Anolis sagrei: one gene and its partner. The protein of the gene in region 1 purifies or fractionates together with the protein of each later gene. This does not show direct contact. Links are inferred from orthologs where the notes say so. Each region holds a gene or a part of one and is shown on either strand. Other genes may lie near its edges.

Region 1 (10,543 bases):
CAACTGGCGTATTATTATTATTTATTTCCTATATTTATTCCCCACCCTTCTCACCCCTGAGGGGGGACTCAGAGCAGCCTCACAAACACCTTACTGTGTCATCATAATAAAACAATCAACAATACATTACAATATTAAAATAATTGATTAACATATGCGTTATTAAAATCAGAGTCTAAAATCCACGCAACTGTAGTCAACCTGGAATGTAGGGCTGGAAAGGAAACTTCAACCAGGGAGTATTTGCCGAGAGGCAATGCCATGAAGACACGACAACGTACATAGGAAGCCATTCTTAAAACGGGAGCAACCCATTTGCCAGAGAGCAATGCAATCACGTGGATGAGGAAGTAAACAGAGAAGTGGCAGACTGGCCTTCTGCAAAGCAAAGTTCAACCACCAACACTGAATCCGAAGGTGAATTATGTAATGTGGCCTCTTCTGGCAATTCAGTGCAGGAGCCCAAAGGTACTGAGGAGGAGATGGGTGTGGGCCGGGCCTACCTGGACACTTGACGTCCATGAAGTAGGAGTTGGGGCTCTGGACCAGGCGCTTCTTCTTGTGCTTCCGCTTCTCCTCCTCAGGGGAGGGATGCAAGAGGTCCTTTGCGAGCTGCAGGGAAAAGAAAGCCAAAGCAAGGGCCGCCTCAGGCAGAGACCAACCCAAGCCCCCCGTTTCCCTTCCCCGTTCCTCCAAGGGTTCAAGGCCAGCCTCACTGAGGCAGGGGCCAGGCAGCCCGGAAAACTCACAGCAACCCAAGAATATAAGCACGCTCAGTCTGGGCTATAAATCAATACTGGAGATAATAATAATAATAATAATAATAATAATAAGCATGCTCATGGAAACCTAGAGTTGGAAGAGACCTCGTGGGCCATCCAGTCCAACCCCCTGCCAAGAAGCAGGACAATAGCATTCAAAGCACCCCCCATCTGTGCTGTTAATTAATCCTGGAAATAATAATAAGATTAATCATCATCATCATCATCATGCTCATCTGTGCTATTAATTAATCCTGGAAATAATAATAAAAACAATAAGGAGGAGGAGAAGCATGCTATTAATTAATCCTGAAAATAATATTAATAATAGTCATAATCATGCTCATCTGTGCTATTAATTAATCCTGAAAATAGTAATAACAAGAAAGAGTAATAACAAGAAGAAGCATGCTATTAATTAATCCTGTAAATAATAATAATATTAATAATAATCATAATCATGCTCATCTGTGCTATTAATTAATCCTGGAAATAATAGTAGTAAGGAGGAGGAGGAGGATGCTCAGTCTGTGCTATTAATTAATGCTGTAAATAATCAATAATCATAAGCATGCTCATCTGTGCTATTAATTAATCCTGGAAATAGTAGTAGTAGTAATAATAATAATAATAATAATAATAAGCATGCTCATCTGTGCTATGAATCCTGGAAATAATAGTAGTAATAATAAGAAGAAGTATGCTCAGTCTGTGCTATTAATTAATCCTGGAAATAATAATAAGAAGCATGCTCATCTGTGCTATTAATTAATCCTGGAAAAAATAGTAGTAGTAGTAGTAGTAGTAGTAGTAGTAATAATCATTAGCATGCTCATCTGTGCTATGAATCCTGGAAATAATAATAATAATAATAAGAAGTATGCTCAGTCTGTGCTATTAATTATTCCTGGAAATAATAATAATCAATAATCATAAGCATGCTCAACTGTGCTATTAATTAATCCTGGAAATAATAATAACAAGCATGCTCATCTGTGCTATTAATTAATCCTGGAAAAAATAGTAGTAGTAGTAGTAGTAGTAATAATAATAATAAGCATGCTCATCTGTGCTATGAATCCTGGAAATAATAGTAATAATAATAAGAAGTATGCTCAGTCTGTGCTATTAATTATTCCTGGAAATAATAATAATCAATAATCATAAGCATGCTCATTTGTGCTATTAATTAATCCTGGAAATAATAGTAGTAATAATAATAATCATCATCATAAGCATGTTCATCTGTGCTATTGATTAATCCTGGAAATAATAATAATAATAATAATAATAAGCATGCCCTCCCTCCAGATCTCCTGCCAGAGACTCAAAGCGGCTTAACATGAAAGCATCAGCACACTATTTCAAATCTACAAACATTCAAACATAACTGGATATCAATGGTATTTTAAAAGTCAAGTTAAAATCCATACAAACGTATATTTGAAGCTAAAAACCCGGGTCAAAACCTAATTTCAAAGCCTGACTGAATGGAAAGGCTTTGGCCTACAGTTGGAAGGAAGGAAGGGCAGCTGGGAGGGAGCCCCAACCTTGGATTAGCATTATAATGGCTTTGCAGCTTCAAAGCCTGGCTGCTTCCTGCGGGGGGGGGGGATCCTTTGTTGGGAGGTGTTAGCTGGCTCTGATATAACCCCCACTTGCAGACCTCACCACCTCTGAGGATGCCTTTATAGTCATAGATGCAGGCGAAACGTCAGGAGAGAGTACTTCTAGAATATGGCCATATAGGTCAAAAAAACCACAGCGATCCCAGCCACAAAAGCCTTCGACAATACTATTGCTATTGTCGTAAGGGATGCTGGATCTAGGCTATAAATTAATCCAGGAAACAATGATAGTAATAATAATAATAGTATGTACTTATAACCTGAGCCAAAGATGTAGGCGAAACGTCAGGAGAGAGTGCTTCTAGAATCTGACCAAAAAACCCACAGTGATTCCAGCCAGTGTGGGTTATTTTTAATTTTAATTACTATTAATGTCATAAGGGACGCTGGATCTATGTGATAATTAGTTAATTAATCCCGGAAATAATGATGATTATTATTATTGGGAGTGAGAGAAGGACGGGCCTCTGCTGAGGGGGATCTCAAAAAGGCCCAAAAGCCTCTCCTTGATTTACAATACTTTCCTTAATATGTGATGGTATACAATCTTAGTAATGGTGGAGGCCCAAACCATCCCTTCCCTCCTCCTCCGCCCCCAAAGCAGCCACGTCCGCCATTTTGTGCCTGGCTCCTTCGGCCTTCGGAGAGGCAGCGGCCTGGGCTGGCCCGAGCGGCCGGGCGCGGCGCCTCCTCGGCGGGGGGCGCTGCCAGGAAAGGCCGCGGCGTGGGGCGAGGCCTAGCGCGGCCTGAACGAGGGAGAGAGAGAGACTCACAGGCATGTCCGCGTGGAGGCAGCGACGGCCGGAAAGGAGCCACGCCGGAAAGAGAGGGCGCTATATCCGCTCGGCGCGGGGTTTCCCCGGAGGGAGGCCGGAAGTCGAGGGGAAAGGGGGCGGGGCGGAGACTGACCACGCCCCGCCCTCCACTGCGCAGGCTCAGCGGCGCCATCTTGAGGAGGGGAAAGGAGGGGAGGCCGCCATGATGGGAGGGAAAGAGGGAAACAGGCCTACATGCATAGATAGATAGATAGATAGATAGATAGATAGATAGATAGATAGATAGATAGATAGATAGATAGATAGATAGATAGATAGATAGATAGATAGATAGATAGAGAGATAGAGAGATAGAGAGATAGATAGATAGATAGATAGATAGATAGATAGATAGGAAGGAAGGAAGGAAGGAAGGAAGGAAGGAAGGAAGGAAGGAAGGAAGGAAGAAGGATGGATAGATTTATTTATTTACAGCATTTATATATCTCGGGACTTAAGATAGGAAGATAGATAGATAGATACATAGATAAGTAGATAGATAGATAGATAGATAAGAAGATAGATAGATAGATAGTTAAATAGATAAGTAGATAGAAAGATAGATAGATAGATAGATAGATAGGTAAATACATAGATAAGTAGATAGATAAATAAATAGATAGATAGATAGATAGATAGGTAAGTAGATAGATAAGTAGATAGAAAAATAGGTAGGTAGGTAGATAAATAGATAGGTAAATAGATAGATAAGTAGGTAGGTAGGTAGATAAGTAGTTAGATAGATAAATGGATTGATTTTCATCTTGTCTCCTGCCTATGTGTCATCAGTCTCCTGTGCTATGTTAATAATATAATATATTGTATATTATATTATTTATTTATAATATTATAATGTAACATAATACACTACTAATAATAAGATATTAAAATTATATATTTTATAAGACATGTAATATTATTAATATTACAATATAACGGTATAGTACAATATAGTAACATATAATACTGGTATTGTATTATGCTAATAATATAGCATATTGTATGTATATCTATCTTGTAAGCTGCTCTGAGTCCCCTTCGGGGTGAGAAGGGCAGCATAGAAATGTCTTAAATAAATACATAAATAGATAGATAGATAGGTAGGTAGGTAGGTAGATAGATAGATAGGAATATAAATGGAAAGCTGGATGGATGGATGGATGGATGGATGGATGGATAGGAAGGAAGATAGATAGATTGATTGATAGATAAGAAAATAGGAAGACTGGAAGGAAGGAAGATGGATTTATAGATAGATAGGAAGATAGATAGGAAGGTAGATAGATAGCTAGATAGATGGATAGAGGTAGGAAGGAAGGAATGTAGATAGATAGGAAGAGAGACAGAAAGATGGGAAGGAAAGAAAGATAGATAGATGAATAGATATGAAGATAGATGGATAGACAGACAGACAAATAGATACAGATAGATGCATAGATAGATAGGAAGACAATTGAATACATGGATGGATTGATAAGATAGTTGGATAGATAGATAGATAGATAGATAGATGGATAGATAGGAAGAGTGATATTTAATTGTTTCTCCCTCAAGCAGACGATCCCTCTCTCAGCTAACAATTGAAACTCTGCAGATGGATGGATGGTTGGATGGATAGCTAGCTAGCTAGGTAGGTAGATGGATGGATGGATGAATGGATGTGTGGGTGGGTGGATAGATAGATGGATGGATGGGTGGGTGGGTAGGTAGGTAGGTAGATGCATGGATAGATGGGTGCATGGGTGGATAGATAGATAGGTAGATAGATGGTTGGATGGATGGATGGGTAGGTAGGTAGGTGCATGCATGGATGGATGGATGGATGGATAGATGGGTGGAGAGATGGGTGGATAGATAGGTAGATAGATAGATGGATGGATGGATAGGTGGATGATTGGATGGATGGGTATGTAGGTAGGTAGATGCATAGATATATGGATGGATGGATGGATGGATGGATAGATGGGTGGATGGATAGATAGATGGATAGGTAGATGGATGGTTGGATGGATGGGTAGGTAGGTAGGTGCATGCATGCATGGATGGATAGATGGGTGGATAGATAGGTAGATAGATAGATAGATAGATGGATGGATGGATGGATGGATAGGTGGATGATTGGATGGATGGGTACATAGGTAGGTAGATGCATAGATGTATGGATGGATGGATAGATAGATAGATAGATAGATAGATAGATAGATAGATGAATAGCTATGAAGACAGATGGATAGATAGATAGACAGACAGAGATAGGAAGATAGAAAGATAGATAAATACATGGATGGATGGATTGATTGATAGATGGATAGATGGATAGATAGATAGAGTGATATTTAATTGTCTCTCTCTCAAGCCGTCTCTCTCTCTCTTTTCCAGCAATTGAGACTCTGCCATGCCTATACATTCAAAGTGTATAAAACTCATAATTAAAACCGATGGAATCCTGATAGCCACAAAAGGCCTCTTGAACAACCTCACAGCGCATTTGTATAGTTCTAAACTGCACTGGCACGGGGATTGGGAAGGGAGGGGATCCTTGCTCAGCTTCCCTTGCAGTGAATGCACTCTGCACATGCTCATTGTCCCCCTCTTTTGTTTCCCCTTCTTCTTTTGCAGAGTTTGCTAGGGATGCCTGGAGCCTTCCTGCTTCCTGTCCTTCCTCTGGTCCTGCCTCCTTAACCCTTTCCTTTCCTGGAGGAAGTAACTTGGGAGGAAGCCGAGGGAGTGGACTCCGGGAAAAGGGGAAGAGGAGGAGGAGGAGGAGGAGGGAAGAAAGGAAGGGGAAAGGAGGAGAAGAGGAGGAGTTGTGGCATTTCCCCCCAGCTTGGGGACCCCTTCCTCCACTTCCTTCCTGGCCCTTCCTTCCTTGCTTCCTCCCTTCCTTCCTCTTCCTGGGGGCGATGATGGCCAAGTCCTACGACCACCTCTTCAAGGTGCTGCTGATTGGGGACAGTGGCGTGGGCAAGACCTGCCTCATCATCCGCTTCGCAGAGGACAACTTCAGCGGCACCTACATCTCCACCATTGGTAAGACAGGAGCAGAAGACCCCACCATCACCACCATCACCATCATCATCATCTGGATCATCATCATCATCATCATCATCATCATCATAGAGACAGGAATAATAATAATCATCATAATAATAATACATTCCTAGATGCAGAAGGGAAACCCCAAAGGGCATCCAGTCCAACCTCCATCCTGCCAGGAAGGAAAGCACAACGCCATTCCTCCCAACAGAAAGCCAGATAGTCTCCAAATAACAACAACAACAACAACAACAACAACAACAACAACAACAATAATAATACAATCCTAGAGGTGGGAGGGATCCCGGTAGGAAGGAAAGAATGAGGCTGGAAGGAAGGCACAATTCAATCCCTCCTGAGAGATGGCCAGCCAGACTCCTCATAATAATAATAGCAATAGGAATACTAATCATAATAGCAACAACAACAACAATAATAATAGAACCATATAACCCCAAAAGGCCATAAAATCCTAGACTTCAAAGGAAATAATAATAATAATAACAATAGAACCATACAACCCTAGAGTTGGAAGGGACCCTAAAGGCCACCCAGTCCAACCCCCTTCTGCCAGCCACCGAACGCACAACTCAATCCCTCCTAACAGATGGCCATCCAGCCTTTTTATTATTATATTACTAATAATATTACAATATAATGGTATAGTGCAATATAGTAATATATACTGATATTGTACTATGCTAATAATATAATATATTGTATGAAAATATATATTGTAAGCTGCTCTGAGTCCCCTTCAGGGTGAGAAGAGCGGCATATAAATGCTGTAAATAAATAAATAAATAAATTTGAATAATAGCAATAATAATAATAATAATAATAATAATAATAATAATGTCTGACATGTGATCCAATGCAACAACCAGCAGAGTGATCTTGTCTGCTGTGGACTCATCTTGTTTTGTTTATAATGATGATGATGATGATGATGATGATGATGATGATGATAGAAATGGGAGGGACCCTAAAGGCCACCTAGTCCAACCCCCTTTCCTGCCAGGCAGGAAGGTACAACTCAATATCTCCTAACAGATGTCCATCCAGCCTCTGAATAAAATAATAATAATAATAATAATAATAACAACAACAACAACAATAATAATAATAATAATAATAATAGCATCTGACGTGTGATCCAATACAACAGCCAGCATAGTGATCTTGTCTGCTGTGGACTTGTCTTGTTTTGTTAATAATAATAATAATAATAATAATAATAATAATAGAATTGGGACAGACCCTAAAGGCCACCTAGTCCAACCCCTTTCCTGCCAGGCAGGCAGGCACAACTCAATCTCTCCTAACAGATGGCCATCCAGCCTCTGAATAATAATAGCAGTAATAAAAATAATAATAATACAATACAACAGCCAGCAAAGTGATCTTGTTTGCTGTGGACTCATCTTGTTTTGTTTATAATCATAATCATAATCATAGAATTGGGAGGGACCCTAAAGGCCACCTAGTCCAACCCCTTTCCTGCCAGGCAGGCAGGCACATTTCAAGCTCTCCTAACAGATGTCCATCCAGCCTCTGAATAATAATAGCAGTAATAATAATAATAATAATAATAATAATACATCAGCCAGCAGAGTGATCTTGTTTGCTGTGGACTCATCTTGTTTTGTTTCTAATAATAATAATAATAGAAACCCTGAGCTTAAAAGTGTAATGGCTTCCTCCCTTTTCCTTCCTTCCTTCCTTCCTCCCTTCCTTCTTCCTCACCCAGGCATTGACTTCAAAATCCGGACCGTGGACATTGAGGGCAAGAGGATCAAGCTGCAGGTCTGGTAGGTCCCTTTCGGAGCCGCGCTTCTTCCCAAGCCGTGGCCGGGGAGCGGCACCTCCGGTTGCAAGGCTGCTCCATGCTTGTTGATCACAGAGTGCAAGCAGACCTCTCCTAGCCTGGCATGCCTGCTCTCTCCTCCCAGCAGCCCAAGAGAAACATTGAGGAGCCCGCAAGTTTCGGGTCTGATAGGAATGGTGGGAGTTGGTCTAGAACTGGTCTAGAACACCCGTTCTAGACCCTGCACCGTGTCTCTCCTAGCCCTCCATTGCATTCCCGCCCTCTCCTCCCAGCAGCCCAAGAGGGGCATTGAGGAGCCTTGGGTCTGATAGGAATGGTGGGAGTTGCAGTATAGAACAGGTCTAGAACACCTGTTCTAGACCCTGCAACATGTCTCTGGCTAGGAATGCGCATGGATCCGTGAGCGTGAGCATGCTTTGTTTCTCTTCCAGGGACACAGCCGGGCAGGAGCGGTTCAAGACCATCACCACCGCCTATTATCGGGGCGCCATGGTAGGACCCCAGCCCGCCCTTAGTGGCGCTAGAACTCCCCCCCCCCCCAGGTGTCGTTTGCGGGGATTTCTGTCTTACTTCTTTCCTGCCACACCACAGAATCACATAATAACCTTGGAAGGGACCCCAGGGGCCATCCAGTCCTCATGCAGGAAAAGCCCAGTCAAAACCCCCCCGACAGATGGCCACCCAGCCTCTGTTTAAACTGCTGCGAACGTGCCCTTCCTGGGTCTCTGTGTTCCACCTCGCAGGGCATCATCCTGGTCTACGACATCACCGACGAGAAGTCCTTTGAGAACATCCAGAACTGGATGAAGAGCATCAAGGAGGCAAGTCCCGTTTCCATGCATTTCCACCGTATGGAATGAATGTATATATGTTGTTAATCTTTGTGCTTTAATTATGTTGCACGCTGCCTTCGGCCGGGAGGAGAGCCGGGTAAGAAATAAAATAGAATGATTATTACATTATTATTATTATTATTATTATTATTATTATTTTACTGACACAAAAACACAGTATGTCACAGCAAATGAGATCTATATGTGTCAGGAGTCAATTTCTGACGGCATGAAAACATCACAAATTCCCTCCATGACCTCCTGACTGATCAATTCTCTCTCTGTGATATTCTGAAGCCAGCCGAGGACGCTGGAGACCATGTGTTGCATCCCAGATCAGGAAACGAGACCATAAGATCAAATCCACCACACTGGACTGTGGGGAAAAACAATCCTTTTTATTGATGAAAAATGGTTACAAAATAGAGGAAAATGCAAAGTCAAAAAGCCACAGTAGAAACTCAGCAGTCAGGAAAATCTCTGAACTTGAGCACAATTCCAAAAGCCACAATACAAAAACCTCGAACCTGTTAGCATCTCACTAACCATACTTGAAAACTAGAAGCCTCTGGAAATGCAGGCCATGGAACGCAGGAAATCTGCCAAGGTGTTGCCTCAGTCTAAACGATGCTTGATCTAACGAGACAGCCCGGGGAGAGGCCCCTTAAACCAAAGAAACTGTTTCTTGACACGCCTCCAGGCTTTGAAGCCTGAGCCTCCCTTTCCCTTAATCTACTTGACCTTCTCAGACTCTGTGATTCACTCCTGTTTCTCCAAATCTGTTCTCTTCGATCCTCATTAAAAAAAAACCCAGGTGTGAGTTCCTCTGGAGAGCTATCACCGCTTGGTTCCAAAACATCCTCATCAGGAAATTTAGTTTCATTTTCCCAGCCACTGCCCTCAGAATCAACAGTTTCCAAACCATCAGGGAAAGAGACATGTTCAGAGGCCTGTTCAGTTGCATCAGGAAATACAATTAGAGAATTGGGTTCAGGTTCACACAGAGATTGAGGCACAGGTTCGCACGGAGGCTGAACCCCAACACCAGGTTATGGAACTTGTGAAGCAACAAGTTCTAATAAGGAAACTGAGAAGAGGGGGAAGATGGGCAGAAAAGGTGTCTAAAAGGAAGTGGTGGTGGGAAAAAGTCCGTAGTGTCTTAATGTAAGACTGTAGGATCTATACAGCAATATTAAAGAACCACTCACAAGCCGTCTTTGCTGCAGAGATACCAGCCATATGTCCATTTCAAAGCAGAACCGGCTTGTGAGTGGATATTTAATATTGCTATTGAGATCCTACAGTCTTACAATATGCTGGATTATTATTATTATTATTATTATCATCATCACCACCACCACTACTACTACCATTGTTGTTGTTGTTATGTGTGCAAGGGGCCAGTGAATGGGGGGTGGCTGGGTACACAAGGGGTGCGTCTACACTGTCAAATGGATGCGGTTTGAGACCATCCCTCCCGTTGCGCAGAACGCGTCCTCGGGCGTGGAGCGGCTCCTCCTGGGAAACAAGTGCGACATGGAGGCCAAGCGCAAGGTGCCCCAAGACAAGGCCCAGAAGGTACCCAGGGGAAGGGGGCTTCGGGGGGGGGGGGGTCTCTCTCTCTCTCTCTTTGCCGGAAGAC
Region 2 (10,158 bases), on another chromosome or scaffold:
TGCCCGACCACCGTCTCCCAAAGCAGTTGCTCTACTATGAACTCCAGAACGGAAAACGGAATGTTGGAGGACAGGAAAAGAGATTTAAAGATGGGCTCAAAGCCAGCCTTAAAAACTCTGGCATAGACACTGAGAACTGGGAAGCCCTGGCCCTTGAGCGCTCCAGCTGGAGGTCAGTTGTGACCAGCAGTGCTGCAGAATTTGAAGAGGCACGAATGCAGACAAAGAGAAATGTACCAAGCCGCCTTCCACCTGGAAACCAATGCCCTCACTCCAGGAGGAGATGCAGGTTAAGAATAGGGCTCCACAGCCACAAGAATACAGATCATGGAAGACTATCCTACTTGTCCAACGAGGGATTGCCTAAGTAAGTAAGTATATTTCAGAGGAAGGAACTGGCAAAACTCCTTGTCTAAGAAAATCCTATTAAATTCACAGAGTTACCATAGATTGACAGGTGAATTGAAAGTATGCATGCATACATATACAAAGTTATATCTGGCAACGCTACACAAATATATTGGGTTATTTTTTACAGGTTTAAAGTAAATTGTTCTAGAGAATTAGTCCTACACAAGGAGCTGTTAGCAGAGGATGTTCATTTCCTTTGAAAGTGGATTTCCTTGTGATGATGACCAGATGCAAAGGAAGACAGAGAAGGGCTCCTTTTGTGAAGGAGGAATTAGGCAGTGGGGTGCTTTCCTAGCCATCCTGCCTTTCCCAGCATTGCTACAGAAAGGAGCAAGGGCTTTGTTCTTTTCTGTTGCCTTTCTCATGGGTGGGGCAGCGGTGAGCATTTGAGCTCTGCGGGGCTACAAATACAAGAATACAAATACAGGAATACACACGGTTGCCAAACGCATGTGTGCATGCGCATTCTCCTTCGTTACCACTGGCAACAGGATGTCAGAACAACCATTAGCTGGCTTTGCTTTCACCAGCAAAGCCATTGGAGTGCCAAGCAAATGTATCCTGACCCCACCTTCCACTCATGCTTTAAACAGTTGAGCCCTGTTGCTTTCTTGTGAGTAAACACACCACAAACTGCACACTGACTATTCCTCCTCTCCATCCCCTGAAGGAGTGAGAGAGGCAACCCTGTGGAAAGCAAAGATGCCCATGAAATGCCCCATTGGTCTTGCTGGGAGCATCTTCGACGCTTCACCCAGATTATAAAATGAGGCAATGTTTGATGCAACTGGGAGTATTTTAGGAAGGTTGTGCGTGGTTCTTTTGCGGACGAGGATTACCGTGCTTTTCTTGAATTTGTAATCAGATGGGAGATTGGGAAGAAGGAAATACAGTCCTAAGGCGGGCTTATTTTCTCCTCCCTTTACAAATGTACAATGTATAATGTGTATGTGTTTTTTTTCTAATGTAAATATATATTTTCAGTACACACTATATTTTTAAAAGGAGAAAATGGGCCTTCAGGGCGAAAAATCTCTCATCTTCCATTGGTTGCAGTGTTTTGTGTGTGTGTGTGTGTACACACACACACACTTAATTTTTTAAAAGGAGACGACAATGGACTCTTCAGAACAATGTTTACTCCTCCCGTTTGGTTGCGATGCTTTATGTGTCTGCATGTATACTGACTGTGTATATAGAATCAGAGTTGGGTCGCTCATCTAGTCCAACCCCCTGCCATGCAGGAAAAGCACAATCAAAGTAGCCCCAACAGATGGCCATCCAGCCTCTGTTTCAAAGCTTCCAAGGAAGGTGCCTCTACTGCATTCCAAGGCAAAGTGTTCCACTGTTGAATAATAATAATAATAATAATAATAATAATAAGAAGAAGAAGAAGAAGAAGAAGAAGAAGAAGAAGAAGAAGAAGAAGTGGGTTAAACCCTTGTGCCAGCAGGACTGAAGACTGACAGGTGCTAATCCGGGGAGAGGTGGATGAGTTCCCACTATCAGCTCCAGCTCTTCATGCGGGGACATGAAAGAAGCCTCCCACGAAGATGACAAAACATCAAAATCATCCGGGCGTCCCCTGGGCAATGCCCTTGAGAGAAGCCTCCCACAAGGATGATAAAACATCAAATCATCTGGGCTTTCCCTGGGCAACGTCCTTGCAGACGGCCAATTCTCACACACCAGAAGCAACTTGCGGTTTCTCAGGTTGCTCCTGACATGACAAATAATAATAACAATAACAACAACAATAATAATAATAAGTGCCACCTGCCAGCAGTAAATAATAGGTGGGATCATAAACCTGCAAAGGTCATGGAAAATGAGCATACAAAAATACTGTGGGACTTTCAAAGCCAGACTGTTAAAGTTTTCGAAGCCAGACTGATAAAGTTTTGGAACACAACACACCAGACGATTGTGGAAAAGAAAAAAGTCTGGATTATTGATGTCACCATTCCAGGTGACAGTCGCATTGAGGAAAAACAACAGAAAAAACTCAGCCACTCTGACCTCAAAATCGAACTGCAAAGGCTCTGGCATAAACCAGTACAGGTGGTCCCAGTGGTCAATGGTGCACTAGGTGCCGTGCCAAAAGATCTCAGCCAGCATTTGGAAACAATAAACATCGACAAAATCACGATCTGTCAACTGCAAAAGGCCACCTTACTTGGATCTGCGCGCATAATTCGAAAATACATCACACAGTCCTAGACGCTTAAGAAGTGTCCGACTTGTGATTTTGTGATACGAAATTCAACATATAGATTTCGTTTGCTGTGACATACTGTGCTTTTGTGTCAGTAAAATAATAATAAAAAACGTTATTTGTACCCCGCCACCTTCTTGTCAAAGAGGACTCAGGGCAGCTTGAGACCAAGCCCAAAGGTACAATGCAGCAAAATAAAATACAAAATGCAGACAACAAAAATACATCAGAATAAAATACATACAATAGCAAAAATAAATAAATAAATAAAGCAAATTGATATAATATAAAACCAAACGGGCCAAATGGACGAGGTAAAATGATAAAACCCTAGATGAAGTTGAATAGAAAATGTGTAATTGAGAGGAGCCCAAAAAAGATGAATAGTGGGTTTAGGCTTTTAGTTTAGGACGGGGGAAAGTGCATCATAGGGCAACACTATAAATGGAATAAACAGAAATGGGATAAATGGTTACTCTCCAAAGGCACATCAGAGGAGCAAAGTTTTCAAAGTTGTTTTGAAGGCTACTAAGGTAGGGGCTTGCCTAATCTCACCGGGTAGTGAGTTCCAAAGTTGGGGGGCCACAGCGGATTCCTATATATATATGTTTTGGTATGCAGATTCCTTTACTCTATGGTTCCTGAGAAGTTATAAAAGGGACTTCTGGTTGCTTCTGGAGATACTTATTCTGCATAGAATTATGGAAAATATAGACCCCTGTCTGATCCCACAGCAAGCTGGCTTCAGGAAAGGCAAAAGCTGCACATTGCAAGTGCTGACCCTGACTCAGCACATAGAAGATGGCTTTGAAAGGCAGCAGATCACAGGAGCTGTCTTCATAGACTTGTCAACAGCCTATGATACTGTGAACCACCGCCTCCTCCTGAGAAAAATGTTTAATATCACAAAGGATTACCACCTCACCCGCCTCATAGGAAACCTGCTACAAAACAGGAGCTTTTTAGTTGAGTTCCAGGGCCAGAGAAGCAGATGGCGGAAACAGAAGAACGGCCTGCCTCAGGGGAGCGTGCTTGCTCCATCCATGTTCAACATCTACACAAATGGCGAGCCACTGCCAGAAGGGACAGAGAGTTTCATCTATGCTGATGATCGTGCCATTACTGCTCAAGCAGGGAGCTTTGAGATGGTAGAACAGAAGCTCTCTGAAGCTCTAGGTGCTCTTACTGCCTATTACAGGGAAAACCAGCTGATCCCTAACCCATCTAAAACACAGACATGTGCCTTTCACCTTAATAACAGACAAGCATCTGGGAAGGAATCCCACTGGAGCATTGCAGCACACCCAAATACCTGGGAGTCACTCTGGACCGTGCTCTGACCTACAAGAAGCACTGCCTGAACATCAAGCAAAAAGTGGGTGCTAGAAACAATATCATACAAAAGCTGACTGGCATAACCTGGGGATCACAACCAGATACAGTGAAGACATCTGCCCTTGCGCTATGCTACTCTGCTGCTGAGTACGCATGCCCAGTGTGGAACACATCTCACCACACTAAAACAGTAGATGTGGCTCTTAATGAGACATGCCGCATTATCACGGGGTGTTTGCGCCCTACACCACTGGAGAAATTACACTGCTTAGCTGGTATTGCACCACCTGACATCTGCCAGGAAGTAGCAGCCAATAGTGAAAGGACCAAGGCAGAGACATCTCCAGCTCATCCCCTGTTTGGGTATCAGCCAGCACGTCAACGACTTAAATCAAGACATAGTTTTCTTAGATCTACAGAGACACTCGCTGGAACGCCTCAGCAAGCGAGAGTCCAAAAGTGGCAGGCTCAAACCCAGCACCTCAATCCATGGGTGATACCAGATGAGAGACTCCCCCCTGGACACACAGAAGACTGGGCGACTTGGAAGGCGCTGAACAGACTGCGCTCTGGCACCACGAGATGCAGAGCCAACCTTCAGAAATGGGGCTACAGAGTGGAATTCACGACATGCGAGTGTGGAGAAGAGCAAACCACAGACCACCTGCTGCAATGCAACCTGAGCCCTGCTACATGCGCAATGGAGGACCTTCTTACTTGGAGCAACACCAGAGGCACCAGAGGCATTCCAAGTGGCCCGATACTGGTCAAAGGACATTTAATCAAACTACTAAACTCACAAATTTTGTATTTTGTCTGTTTGTTTGCTTTGTTCTGTTAGAAATGTAATATAATTTGACTGGTTGCTCTGACACGACAAATAAATAAATAAATAAATGGATACTGTTGGCATTGAATTGTTGCCTGCGTTAGCCGCCCTGAGTCCCCCCTCAGGGGTGAGAAGGACGGGGTAGAAATGGTCTAAATAAATAAATAAAGGAGATTCCATCTGAACACGAGGAAGAACTTCCTGATTGTGAGAGCCGTTCAGCAGTGGAACTCTCTGCCCTGGTTTGTGGTAGAGGCTCCATATTTTGAGGCCTTTAAACATGAGGAAGAACTTCCTGGCTGTGAGAGCTGTTCAGCAGTGGAACTCTCTGCCTCGGTGTGTGGTGGAGGCTCCTTCTTTGGAGGCTTTTAAACAGAGGCTGCATGGCCATCTGCTGAGGGTGCTTTGAATGAGATTTTCCTGCTTCTTGGCAGGGGGTTGGACTGGATGGCCCATGAGGTCTCTTCCAACTCTTTGATTCTATGATTCTATATATATGTATAGAGAGAGAGAGAGATAGAGAGAGAGATAGATACACACAGAGATGTATGCATATACTAGAACCCATCCTTGCAGTGAGGTTTCCATGGTGAAGGCAGGCCTGACAAGCCCCCTCCTCCTCCTGCCCTCAGCTGATGACAGGGAGAAACAGGGGCCGGAACTCGTTTCCCATCCTCTCTCTGCGCTGAGGCTGTGGCCAGAACACGGCGGAGGGGCACACTCCCACCCCTCGCCCTTTTCTCCATCCGCCTCCTTTGGAAAAAGGGGCGCGAGGATCCAGTTCACCCTCCCTTTTCCAAGGCGGAGCGATCTCTGCTTTCTCTCTCGGCTCTGGGACTCGTTTATTTTCCCCGGCGGGGTGATCCGCTCGGCGCGGTGGTGCGGCTCCATCTTGGCTCCGCTCGGGGCGGGGGCTCCGCGGCCGGGACCACCACCGTCACCACTACCACCACCATGGACGAGGCCTACGACGTGATCGTGCTGGGCACCGGCCTGACCGTGAGTCTCACCGGGGAAGGGCCAGGGGCGGCCCGCCTGTGGGGACTCCTTTTCCTCCGCCACCGCCGCATCCCAGCCTCCCTTCCCTTCCATTGCAGGCAGGATGCAGCGTCGCCCTTCCTTGATGCAATGGGGAGGGGGAGACCTTGCATTGCAATGGGATGGATGGGGATGGATGGGGCATCTTTCTATTTTTATTTTTCCAAGCACCCACTTCCATATTTCTCCTGCAATAATAATAATAATAATAATAATCATAATTTATATTGCAATCGGATTATGGAGATGGGGCATCAGTTTTTATTTTTCCAATAATAATAATAATAATAATAATAATAATTTGTATTATTTATATTGCAATGGGATGGTGGGGATGGGACATCTATTTTTTTTATTTTTTTCCAAGCACCCACTTCCATATTCCTCCTGCAATAATAATAATAATAATAATAATAATAATAATAATAATTATTTATATCACAATCGGATTATGGAGATGGGGCATCAGTTTTTATTTTTCCAATAATAATAATAATAATAATAATAATAATAATTTGTATTATTTATATTGCAATGGGATGGTGGGGATGGGGCATCTATTTTTTTTTATTTTTTTCCAAGCACCCACTTCCATATTCCTCCTGCAATAATAATAATAATAATAATAATAATAATTTATATTGCAATGGGATTATGGAGATGGGGTATCTGTTTTTATTTTTCCAATAATAATAATAATAATAATAATAATACTTTGTATTATTTATATTGCAATGGGATGGTGGGGATGGGGCATCTGTTTTTGTTTTTTCCCAAGCATCCACTTCCATATTCCTCCTGCAATAATAATAATAATAATAATAATAATTTATATTGCAATCGGATTATGGAGATGGGGCATCAGTTTTTATTTTTCCAATAATAATAATAATAATAATAATTTGTATTATTTATATTGCAATAGGATGGTGGGGATGGGGGCATCTATTTTTTATTTTTTTCCATGCACCCACTTCCATATTCCTCCTGCAATAATAATCATCATAATAATTTGTATTATTTATATTGCAATGGGATGGTGGGGATGGGGCATCTGTTTTTGTTTTTTTTCCAAGCACCCACTTCCATATTCCTCCTGCAATAATAATAATAATAATACTTCGTATTATTTATTTTGCAATGGGATGGTGGGGATGGGGCATCTGTTTTTTTATTTTTCCAAGCATCCACTTTCTTATTTCTCCTGCAATATATTATTATTATTATTATTACAATAGGATGGTGGATCGTGCATTACAATGGAATGGTGGAGATGGGGCATCTATTTTTATTTTTTTTCAAGCACCAATTTCCTTAATCATCCTGCAATAATAATAATAATAATAATAATAATAATATATTGCAACAGGATGGTGGAAATTGTGCCTTTATTTTTTTTCCCCAAGCACTCATTTTCTTATTTCTTCTGCAATATAAATGATAGTGATTATAATAATAACAACAGCCAGCAGAGTGTCTGCTGTGGACTCATCTTGTTGTGTTTCTAATAATAATAATAATAATAATAATAATAATAATAATTTGTATTATTATTTATATTGCAATGAGATGGTGGAGATGGTGCATTTATTATTATATTTTTTCCAAGCACCCACTTCCTTATTTCTCCTGCAATATTATTATTAATAATAATTTATATTGCAGTGGGATGATAGATCATGCATTCCAATGGGATGGTGGAGATGGTGCATTTATTTATTTATTTATTCCAAGCATCTACTTCCTTATTTCTCCTGCAATATACATTAATAATATTATTATTATTACAATGGAATGGTGGGAATGGTGCCTTATATTTTTTTATTCCTTATTTCTCGTGCAATATAAATAATAATTGTTATTTGGATTATTTGTATTGCAATGGGATGGTGGATCGTGCATTGCATTTTTTATTTTTCCAAGCACCCACTTCCTTATTCCTCCTGCAATATAAATAATAATAATATGATGATAATAATAATAATAATAATAATAATAATAATAATAATAATTGTCCTTCCATGCTGTGTATGTGGATTTCCACCTCATTGGCTCTGTTCTCCTAATGGAAATGGGTTTGGCCCCATTGCAGCTCCTCTGATGCAACCCTCCATCCATCCTCAATGTCTGGGTACCAATTGCAAAGCCTCTTTCTCTCTCCTTCCTTCTTTCCTTCCGTCCGTCCTTCCTTCCCTCCCTCCCTCCCTTCTTTTCCTTCTTTACTTTCATCCTCCCCTTCCTTATTTCCCTTCACTCTCTTCTCTTCCTTCCAACATTTTGGCCAGATCCTTCTTATTTCCAACCCATCCCTTGTCTTTAAGATAACAATCCTTGTGTAGCAGACAGTGTTTCCTTCTGTGCTTATTTCAGTGCTGCCAATTGCCCCGGGCGCTCTGTTGGTTGGCAGCATAGAAAATGGGAAGAAAACGACAATAGCATTGCTGCAGTTCCTAAGGTCTGCATAGCATCCCTCTCTCGACATCCCTCATCTCCGATTCCCAAAGTCTGGAGTCACAATATGGGAAGTCCACCCCGTTATCAGTATCTCAAGATTGAAGGGTCTTGCAGAGCAAGGCCAAATCCTGGTGCAGATGTGTGTGTGCACCTACTATTGCAGGCTTGGACAGGGCACAACCCCCTCCTCAGTATGCGGTTCTTCAGATGTTGTCCATGGTTCTGCAAGTCTTCTGGCTATCTAAGGTCCCATGCTTTTCCCACTCTGAATTTTGGTACTGCCTATGACATCTAAGGTCAATGTTTTATATATATATATCTCCACACACACCAAGGATAATTTTATTCTCATTTTCCATATTCTTGTAATCCAGAAAGGAGACTTGGGGTGACATCAAGGGTGTCAAAGCCATTTTCATCAAAAGCCACACCAACCTTATGATTGGGTTGTTGTAGGTTTTTTCGGGTTATATGGCCATGTTCTAGAGGCATTCTCTCCTGACGTTTCTTATGATTGCCTTCAAAGGGCCGTTGCATCCATGGCAGAGAATCCATGGCTACAGAGGACTAGCTAATTTTTTTTTACATTGTTGGTGTTCTTTAGTTTTTATCCGTTTGGCTTCCCAGGTGTTATTGAACGACAACTGCCATCACTGTGATTATCCACTGACTGAGAATAATGGGAATTGCAACCCAACAGCACTTATAGATCTGAAGTTGAGGAAAGGTTGAACGGCATTTTAAAATCAGATATCATATCCATAACCCTTGTATTTAAATTCAGACCCCACTCTCCTGACTGAAGAAAACACTTTTCAACCTTCCAGATGTTGCTGTATCACAACTCCTATCAGCTCTCAATTCATCATGATGTCTAAGATGAGGAAGACAACTTGTAGTTCAGCATCTGGAAGAGGGCCACATAAAACAACATGGCGGGTGAAATTCATCCTGTGGGATTTGAGTTTGACACAAGTCACTGTAGAATTACCGTATATTCTGGTGTATAAGACTACTTTTACCCAAGAAAATCTTCTCAAAAGTCAGGGGTCATCTTATATGCGGTGTCGTCTTATACGCTGGAGTGGCCTTATACATGGGAGTCATCTTATATGCAGGGGTAGTCTTATACGCCAGGAGTCGTCTTATAGAGTGGGTGCTGAAACCCAATCAAATTGGAGAATCTGTGGTTGCCGCATATGGTGGGAAGCTCAAAAATGGCAATGGCCGTGTCCCTGCCATATGAATACGTCAATATACATAATGAGATATTGAGGAGATGGGACTCAGGTCTAAACACTTAATTTATTATGAAGGGAATTTATACATAATGTTTTACTAATTTTGGGCATGAAACATCAGAAATAAAGTGTCAGTAGATCCGCCTAGTCAACGCCATGGCATTCCCTGTAGTAACCTAAGGATGTGAGAGCTGGACCTTAGGGAAGGGTGAGCGAAGGAAGAGAGATGCTTTTGAACTGTGGTGCTGGAGGAAAGTTCTGAGAGTGCCTTGGACTGCGAGAAGATCCAACCAGTCCATCCTCCAGGAAATAAAGCCCGACTGCTCATTGGAGGGAAGGATACTAGAGACAAAGTTGAAGTACTTTGGCCACATCATGAGGAGACAGCAAAGCCTAGAGAAGACAATTATGCTGGGGAAAGTGGAAGGTAAAAGGAAGAGGGGCCGACCAAGGGCAAGATGGATGGATGGCATCCTTGAAGTGACTGGACTGACCTTGAAGGAGCTGGGGGTGGTGACGGCCGACAGGGAGCTCTGGCGTGGGCTGGTCCATGAGGTCACGAAGAGTCGGAGACGACTGAACGAATGAACAACAACAACATCTTATCCACCTCTGAGGACAATTTTGGAGTATTA

The links.
Region 2: the proteins of RAB13 (region 1) and GDI1 purify together in Homo sapiens (affinity purification with mass spectrometry; 4 studies listed by BioGRID and IntAct, counting the BioPlex papers as one, with this or other methods). This does not show direct contact. The link is inferred for Anolis sagrei from reciprocal best matches to the Homo sapiens genes RAB13 and GDI1.

The regions. Positions count from the first base shown.
Region 1 is NC_090032.1:666,120-676,662, reverse strand, and holds the start of RAB13 (ras-related protein Rab-13), read left to right. Parts: upstream 1-5,839; 5' UTR 5,840-6,107; coding exon 6,108-6,234; intron 6,235-7,990; coding exon 7,991-8,051; intron 8,052-8,499; coding exon 8,500-8,560; intron 8,561-8,811; coding exon 8,812-8,889; intron 8,890-10,389; coding exon 10,390-10,479; intron 10,480-10,543. Other genes in the region: RPS27 (small ribosomal subunit protein eS27), read right to left, coding at 504-612, 3,163-3,168; guanine nucleotide exchange factor subunit RIC1-like, read right to left, coding at 3,223-3,314, 3,400-3,578, 3,670-3,847, 5,029-5,222, 5,423-5,601.
Region 2 is NC_090022.1:174,393,185-174,403,342, reverse strand, and holds the start of GDI1 (rab GDP dissociation inhibitor alpha), read left to right. Parts: upstream 1-5,561; 5' UTR 5,562-5,744; coding exon 5,745-5,789; intron 5,790-10,158. UniProt on the Homo sapiens protein: Regulates the GDP/GTP exchange reaction of most Rab proteins by inhibiting the dissociation of GDP from them, and the subsequent binding of GTP to them. Promotes the dissociation of GDP-bound Rab proteins from the membrane and inhibits their activation.